2 separate regions of the Mus musculus genome follow, and region 1 is reported to be linked to region 2. The links are microRNA targets in miRTarBase. Many come from high-throughput screens and were not tested one by one. Region 2 holds a microRNA gene; the other region holds the end of a gene's coding sequence.
The links. Region 2 holds the annotated microRNA mmu-miR-451a (AAACCGUUACCAUUACUGAGUU, at 2,531-2,552, shown strand). A microRNA usually pairs through its seed, bases 2 to 8, with sites in the 3' UTR of a target mRNA and lowers its output. Matches are read on the target gene's strand: a 7mer-m8 pairs with bases 2 to 8, a 7mer-A1 pairs with bases 2 to 7 and ends in A, and an 8mer does both.

Region 1 (4,389 bases), not on the chromosome of region 2:
GCAAAAAAGGATCTGATAAAGTGCAACGATGCTTTGTGCTAAAAACCCTAAACAAACTCAGAAAAGCCACCTTAACCTAACAAGTACATATGACAAAGCCAGAGTCAGGGTCACAGTGAGTGGGGAAAAGCTGAGAGCAGAATCAACAGCAACAAGAGGCATCCATGGACACAGTTCCTCCTCACAAAGAGATCTGATTAGACAAACCACACAGGAACACAAAAAGCATACAAATAGGAAGGAAATAAAATTATTCCATTGTGCAGATGATGCAGTATTTAGAAAAACCTAAGACTCTATAAAGAACAAATTCAATATTGTAGGATACAAAATTAATAGCTTTTCTATATATCAGTACAAAAATCAGCTAATGCCTTTAGTCCCAGCCCTAGAAAGGCAGAAGCAGGCAGATCTGTGAGTTCGAGGCCAGCCTGGTCTACAGAGTGAGTTCCAGGACAGCCAGGACTACACAGAGAAACCCTGTCTTGAAAAACAAGAAAAGATAAAATAATAACAAAAAGAAATCTGCTAAAATAATGAAAGCAGTCTTACAACAACTATAACAAAAGAAAATGACATAAAACTTAAGCAAAGAAGCCCTCTGTAATAATTACAGAACACTGATAAGAAATATTAGACACAGAAAGTAAAATGCAAATACCTTCCATAGTCACTGACTCAACATTGTTTAAAAAAGTCCACGTTTCTTAAAGTGATCTCTATTTGGACACAACCCCCATCAAAATATCAGTATTGTTATTCTTCACAGAACTAAGAACTAGAAAAAACAATGCTGAAGTTCACATGGAAGCACAAAAGCCTCCAAATAGCGATCTTGGGCAAAATGACCAAAGCAAGGTGTGTCAGAGCACTACCAACCAAACCTGACATGCTATCAGCCTAAAGCAGCCCCTCTATCAATGGAGACAGACAGAAACACACACACACACACACACACACACACACACACACACACACACACACACACCTCACAGCGAGCTCATTCTCACCAAAAGCACCACAAACATGCCCAGGAGAAAGGGCAGCCTCTTCAATAAACAGTACCAGGAAGCTGGATGGCAAGAGGCTCCTCTCTTCTATTCTATGCAAAACAGACTCAAGGTGGATCAAGGGCCTAAATCAAAGAGCTGACACTCTCAAACTCCAGGGAAAATAAAAATGAAATAGTTGAGAAACTGGTAACCGCAATGGCTATTTGGATAGGACCCTAAACACAGGAAACAATAGTAAAAATCAGATGTATGACCACACTGAGTAAATTTGCTTTTTACTGTTTTGTCTGTTTTTGTTTTTTTGAGACAGGGTTTCTGTGTACCCTGGCTGTCCTTGAAAGTATATTTTTTTAGACCAGACTGGCCTCAAACTCAGAGATCCACATGCCTCTGCCTTCTAAGTGTAGGGATTAAAGGCGTGTGCCACCACCACCTGCCTCTGCTTTTCACTGTTAATCTGGATCTTTTAATGGGCTTATTAAAGATGTATGCCAAGCCTGGCTTGTTAGGGCTGCTAGGGAACAAGCTCTGACCTTACCTCTGGCCACAGTTAGAGAGACAGGAGCTGAGACAGTGGTGGGCTGGACTACTCTTTAACGGGCACTATTTAGCTATGCATATCCTCGCCCTCTACTTAAACCTAATGTCAGGACTCCAAAGATGGACCTGGAAAGAGGGCTCTGTGGACCTCTGTTTTTGACTTACTTTTTACTACTGTTTAATTGGCTTCTTGAAAATGTCAGAGCCCAGGCTCTGGCCAATTAAATAATTAGTATGGTAACAAGCAGATTAGTGAACAAGTGAAATGTGTCACACAACCACAACAGAGCATTACTTTAAGGAATGAAATCCTGCCATATGCAATAAGATGAATGAAATTAAAGATGATTATGTTAAGTAAATAAGCCAGGTATAGAATGATAAGCATGATGTTTTCTTTTCCACACAGAATCTAAAACAGTTGATCTATAAGTAGAATACTGAAGACGAGTGTGGTGGTGTACACCTTCGACCCCAGCACTCGGGAGGCAGAGCCAGGCACACCTCTGTGAATTCAAGGTCAGCCTGTTCCAAATAGCAAGTTTCAGGATAGCCAGGCCTACATAGTGAGACCCTGTCTCAAAAAAATCAAACCAGCCAATCACCCAACAAACCAAACCAAACCAAACCAAACCAAACCAATGCAGGATTCTTACTGTTAAGAGACCTGGAAGGTGGTGGAAAACAGAAGGCTACAGCCATTCACATATGTGGAAATATCAAAGCAACCTTCTTAAATGTATACTTAGAATGTTAAAACAAAATTTTAAAGATACAGAAAACTTCAGGAAGGTGTTGTGACTTTTCCTCTTTCTGTGGGGGTGAGGAGTTCAGAAGAAGGCACACAAGCACAGCCGAGTGGTACATTTGTTGTTTTACTGTGAATTTGACATAGCTGAACCAAAGGATTCACAATATTTGATATACTTTGAAGATCGTGTACTATAATCTTAGACATAACCACAGAACAAGCAGAACAATTAAAATTACATAAGGCCTTAAAAACATATCCACAGTGTGTATTATTTTGATTCTCATTCATTACAAATTAAGACTATATACCATTAGTTTATTTTTTATTTTTCTTTCATTTTTCAGGCAGGATTCATTCAAGGAAAGGCAACTTAGTTTTTGTGTGTGAGCTTTATTTATTTATTTTATTTTTTTTACTATACTGGTTAATATAAAATGTATGGCATGTTTTCTTATCCCCTGCATTCAGGAGGGAACCCATGACATTCTCAGATACTACTCCAAAAGAACAGGCCCTACTCTTAAAAACAGCAGAGGTGGAAAGGAACCAAACAGCCAGTCTCTCTGTGGTCTTGAAGATCAACTAACGGAGTTTCAAGTATTCATATAAGGAAGACTACTACAGTTCTAATAATTAGTCAAATTTAAAACAACATTGCATACAAAATCATTCTTGAAGCCCTAACTGTCCTTTAAATAACTGAATGAAAATGTTAAGTAGTTGTCTCACAGTACCAAACATAAGTCAGAACTAGTTAAAATCCAGCGCCATCAGGACTTCTCAGTGACAGGATGAAGAGCTGCTAAGTTAACAGATGGCATAAAAATTAAGACTTCATTTTTTTAAAGGATAAATGTACTATAATTGGAGAATACAGAAAAGTCAATGCATTTTTTTTAACAATAAAATAACCATTTAAGCCTCTATCCCTGTACAGTGGAGTATATATCAACTCAATTTGGATGTTTTCAAACCGTTTTGTTTTTTACAGTTTATTCTGAGTACTTGAATTGCTTTAGATATACAGCTTTTTGAAAGAATATTACATTTGTATACCAGGATATTTAGTACATTGAGATGTTTAAAAATATTTATAAATTTGCTTTTGATATGCAAAAGCATTTGACAATACTTTTACAGCATTTGATTTTATAGAATTAAAATTTCATACAGTACTCATCTTGATGTTTAAAAAAAATTCACAGAAAAAATATAAATTACACAGCCTGACTGCATGATACTGCTATTTCCAGTTTCAAGTTATGGTAATTAAAACCTTCATTAAGTCTGTTAACAAATCATTACCTGTACAGTTATGAAGGCAACTTACATGATTTGTAAACAAAACCTTCAGGTTTTATGTTATTTACCAAGGAGTGCAGTTCAGCAAGAAAAGAAAACCCAGTCTGCAAATTTACAGAGTAGTTTACAAATTTACCAGTTCCTGTGACACGAACTGTTTTAACCTCTCAAGGTATTGTCCATAAAGCTCCACGTCATTGTGTCCTGCCCCTTCAACCCACAGGGGCTCCACAGGTCTTTGGCAGCGCTCAAACAATGCGAGGCCATGGGAAAAGTCAATGACTTCATCTTCAGTCCCGTGAATTATTAATACTGGAGAGGTTATCTTAGAGATTTTGTCAATGCTAGAGAGAATAAGAGAAAGGAAAAAAGCTCAATGAACTGTAGAAAAAAGGAAGTTTCCTGTGTTAGAACAGAAAATTCAAACATTAGAACTGTACAGTAACTCAGCTTTAGGGATGGAAGTCAACTTCAGTAAGATCCAAAGGCCGTCCATCCTTTCCATGACCTCTACGGTGCTGCAGGAAGTTACCTCTGCACAGTTGCTCTGCTTGGACACTGCCACCCTTACATGGAAGCGCTGCCTCGATGCTGAATTTCCCCTAGGCTTCTTAACCCAAGGACCATGCCTGCCTGGGCTAACTTCATTCCCTACTGCACTTATTTTATTCTATCAGTTATTAAAACTCAAGCAAAATCCTTTGGGTTTGTTCTGGTTTAAGGTTAAAAACAGAGAGGAAAACATAAAAAATAGTTTGAAGCTACAAATCGGATGAGTCT
Region 2 (4,389 bases):
CCTCTGTGGGTAGCAGAGCAGACTTGGGCCTTCGCTTATTTGAACTCCAGTGGCTAGCATCTGTGCCTTGTAAAAGCACTTTATGCAAGTCAGCCTGCTGGCAAAGGCCTGTAATGCCAGTTACTTGGGAGGCTTGAGGCAGGAGGATTAAAAAAAAATCAAGGGCTGCCTAAACTATACAGTTAGCTTCAATGTCAGCCTGAGCAACCCAAAACAGAAAGTGAAAAGAGGGGCAGAGGGCGGAGGTGCAGTGGAGTTGTTCCAATGCTTGCTCACAGCCGTAAGGCTCTGGGTCCATTCTCAGCACTGAAGAAACCTGGCATAGTGGTGAAGGCCTGCAGCCCTTGCACTCAGTAATCAGACACAGGAAGCTCAGAAGTTCAGTGCCATCCTCAGTTACAAATGGAATTTGAGCAGGTGGTGATAGCACAGGCCTTTACCCCCAGCAATCAGAGGCAGAGGCAGGCAGATCTCTGTGAGTTCAAGGCCAGCCTGGTTTATAGTTTCAGGACACAAGTCTACAGAGAAAGCCCATCTTCACAAACAAAGGAAAATAGAATGTGAGGCCACATGAGATTCTGTTTCAGTAATAAAAGGAGACCATGGCAAGATATTGCACACCTCTAACCCAAGCACTCAGGAGGCAGAGGCTGCCAGATCTCTAAGTTCCAGGCCAGCCTGGGCTACATACAAAGTTCCAGGCCATCCAGGGATACACAGTGAGATCCTTTCTCAGGACAAAACAAAGAAACAATAATAAAAGCACTGTCACTCATACCTACATAAGATGTGTCTTTAAAGAAAATTAAAGGCCGGGCGTGGTGGCGCACGCCTTTAATCCTAGCACTCGGGAGGCAGAGGCAGGCGGATTTCTGAGTTCGAGGCCAGCCTGGTCTACAAAGTGAGTTCCAGGACAGCCAGGGCTATACAGAGAAACCCTGTCTGGAAAAACCAAACCAAAAAAAATAAATAAATAAATTAAAGAGTGAATAGATAGAGAAGCGTCCCTGTGGCAGGGACACTTAGGGACCTGACAGTGCTAACTAGGTGAGGGGAGATCAGGCATGGCAGAGGTGGAGCAATGCTGGAAATAGACACCTCCACAGAACCGAAGGTTAGGTCTCTCCTCCCACTCCCATTCACCACCCCTCACCCCCCACCCTCAAAGGAAGAAACAGACCAGACTGTCTAGGATAAGAAAGGGGGCGGAACATCCCCCAGAATGAGGGTCTAAATAGCAGAGGCTCAGCTGTGGGGAGTGTCTCAGCACAAGTTTCTGCTTCTCCACAGGGAGAGACCCAAACATATCAGGCTCTCATTGTGTCTTGAGCTCTGATGAAATGCCCCGGCCCTTACACTGGCTCCCACAAGGCCTGGGGGCTGAGGTGCTCCTCAGCTTCCCAGCAGAGGCCCACTTGTCCACGGACCTTGCCAGAGGTGGCTTGCAAGCTTCAGCTCTGCCCACCCAGCTCAAACAGAGTCAAAGCCTAGGGATGGAGTCAGGCTGAGGGTACATGGAGCCTGCTCCCAGATAGATTCCATCTAGGTCCAGTTGCCAGGACCTCCCTGTCCTATTCAGATTCAACTAACATTCCCATCATCACCCACAACAAACTGGGACCTTTCAGCGAGGCCCGAACAACTAAGCCCTGAAGGACGTGGTGAGGGTCTTTCTCTTTCCTAGCCCAGTGGGGTAGGCAGGTAACCTTCTTTGTGGGGTTGGGGGTGAATGGTCACCCACTTAGAAGACGGGAGGCAGGGTGGCGGTGTAGTGTCAGTGTTGGGGTTCTTGGCTAGCATCTTCAGCCTTCAGTTTCATTCCCAGCACAGGAAACTAAGCAGAAGATAAACAAAAAGGGAGCCAAGCCTCAGCTTGTCTCAGGAAGCCAGCAGGCAAAGAGTTAAGAAGCAGGGACTTCTAGAACCCGGGAAAACGTGCCCCACCCAGGGGAGGGGCCAGAGGGTTAAAAGCCAAGCTGCTTGAGTGAGAAGAGACAAGGCAGGCTCTCCCTGTGCAGAGGATTCCCTGGACGAGGCTCCAGCTCCACTCCAGCTCCAGGTAAGCAGTCCTTGGAGTGGCTGTCAGCCTGCTTATAGGTCTGCCCAGAGGGAAGCTCCTGCCTCACAACTTCGTTTCTGCCTGTAACTCTGGATCCCTAAGAGACCCGAGTAGACCTTAGCTTCCTTCTCTAAGCCACCTGGGGTTATCCTGGACCACAGGATCAGGGAGATGCTGCTCTGGGAGGGAAGTGGAGGAGCAGAGGTAGGGACTTAGGTGTCCCTGACTGACCCTGAGCCAATCCCCTGGCTCACTCCAGGCCTGCTGCTCACCTCCTCCTCCAGGACCTTGGCTGGGATATCATCATATACTGTAAGTTTGTGATGAGACACTACAGTATAGATGATGTACTAGTCTGGGTACCCCACCTCCAGAGCCTGCCTGGTTTGCAGCAGAGATGCAGAAGTACACGGGCTCACTGCTCGGCCTAATCAAGCCTGCTGACAGCTGTGGCACTTGGGAATGGCGAGGAAACCGTTACCATTACTGAGTTTAGTAATGGTAACGGTTCTCTTGCTGCTCCCACAAACTGTGCCAAGAAGAGCTCATGACCCTGGAGCAGACTGCTGGAAGAAAAGGACACCCAGGCTGACAAGAGAATGGGGTTGGGGGAAAGGGTACATTTTCCTCTTCACTGTGCCAAAGAAATAAAAGATAAGAATAAGAGCACTTGTCATTTAACTTTATTAGCATCCGAGGCTGGGTGGTTGGATGGGATGGGAGGACCTTTGTGAGTTTAAAGCTAGCCTGATCTATGTAGAGATAGCCAGCCAGTCAGAGTTGTAGGGTAAGAACCCGGTCTCAAAAAAAAAAATAATAATAATAATAAAAGAAAAAGGAAACACGGGTCCTTATGCAACTTCAAGGTGAGGAACTTGGGGGAGAAGAGAAAAATTGTGTTCCTACCAACAACTGGAAACTCAGGGCAAGAGTTTGGTTCCAATGCTAGCGGGGTGGACATGACTTAGAACCATGGGTTCTAGGGTGTGGTTCAGCATGTATCCTATACAACTGACTGAGACCCTAGGCAGAGGAACGCCCCGAGAACTGAGCTAAGTGGAAACATGGTTGGGCAAGCACTGTGCAGACTCGGCAATGCCAGGCTGGCTGGCACAGGACCTTCACAGGACCAAGGGCCTCTCCTCCCATTGATGACCGACCGACTAGGCCATCCTCTGCTACATATGCAGCTGTAGCTATGGGTCCCTCACAATGGAAACCAGTCAGTGTCCATGGCCCTTCCCAGTCCTGTAGACCCCTCTGACAGGGGTAGTTCTAGTCAGTGACTCTGCCAGCAGCTTGAGCAGGGATCCACTGGGAGAAGCAACAGAGGATGGTCATTTGAGGAGTTTCACAGAGAGGCGGATGAGAACGTCACAGTGGAAGATGTCCATGAGGTCCCGGCCCACCTCCTGTGCAATCTGGGAGATCAAGAGGCCCTTCTGACCAATCAGGATCCTCTGCAAGTAGTGAAAAGAGAGGCACATGGTTCTGCTCTTGGCCTCACAGATGGGGAAGAGGCCATGGGTAACACTGCTACCCTTCTCTGAGCATCCCTCACTTACCACATGAGATTCTTTGGGCACCAGAAGGTTCTGTTGGATCACTAGCTCTCCACTTGGTCCTTCCTCCCATATCACTGTCTTCTGTATAAGGAGACATCAGGACTAATCAGGCAGGCTCATCTCTGTATCTCTTGGTACCCAACTGTTCCAGGGGTGTGCCTGGTATACAGGCACTGTGTCCTTTTCCTCTGCCCACACCTGCTGCACACCGTAGGGCACCTCCTCAGGCAGGTACTCTAAGAGCTTCTCTCTGATTTTATTGGCACAGATCTCTTCGGGTGTCTGGCTAGTGAGCACACCACTGTGGAACTCCCAGGGTCCTGGCTGGGCCTGTGTCAGAAGGTATTGCTGTGGGAACAAAGGAAGAGTAGGTTCTTAACCCCCATCAGAACATTTGTTTATGCATGCTTCTAGGAGGAAAAGGCTATGACCCATCCTCATGTAGCCCAAGCTGACCTTAAAATTACTACATAGTAGCTGACTACAGGGGCGAGCTGCCACAACTGACTGAAACACCTTTAAGAGAGCATCTCAGGCAGATCAAGCTGGCCTTGTCCATCCTCGTTTGTCCAGGCTGGGAATGAGCCTCCAATCTTCCTGTCTCTATCTCCTAAATGCTATAGTAGCAGGTGTGCACCCACGTGTGTGTCCAGCTTATGTGGGGCTAGATACTGAATCCAGCACACGAGACAAGCATTCTACCAACTGAGATACATTCCTAACTTTGTTTCTGGTCTCTATGTTGCTTGGCTGGCCTAGAACTCA

Region 1: miRTarBase lists Abhd17b as a target of mmu-miR-451a. Seed matches in the 3' UTR shown: 7mer-m8 at 3,279-3,285.

Annotation. Positions count from the first base shown.
Region 1 is chr19:21,683,662-21,688,050 of GRCm38, reverse strand. Abhd17b (abhydrolase domain containing 17B) reads right to left here. Exons shown (of 4, transcript NM_146096.3): 4 at 2,414-3,953. The coding sequence ends at 3,734. Among named protein-coding and RNA genes, the nearest start is that of Abhd17b, 33 kb to the right of the region's middle.
Region 2 is chr11:78,070,656-78,075,044 of GRCm38, forward strand. Mir451a (microRNA 451a) reads left to right here and starts at 2,515; the gene lies at 2,515-2,586. It overlaps Eral1 (Era (G-protein)-like 1 (E. coli)), which reads right to left. Exons shown (of 10, transcript NM_022313.2): 8 at 3,823-3,972; 9 at 3,625-3,705; 10 at 2,721-3,519. The coding sequence ends at 3,397. It overlaps Mir144 (microRNA 144), which reads left to right and starts at 2,350; the gene lies at 2,350-2,415. Mir451b (microRNA 451b) reads right to left here and starts at 2,586; the gene lies at 2,515-2,586.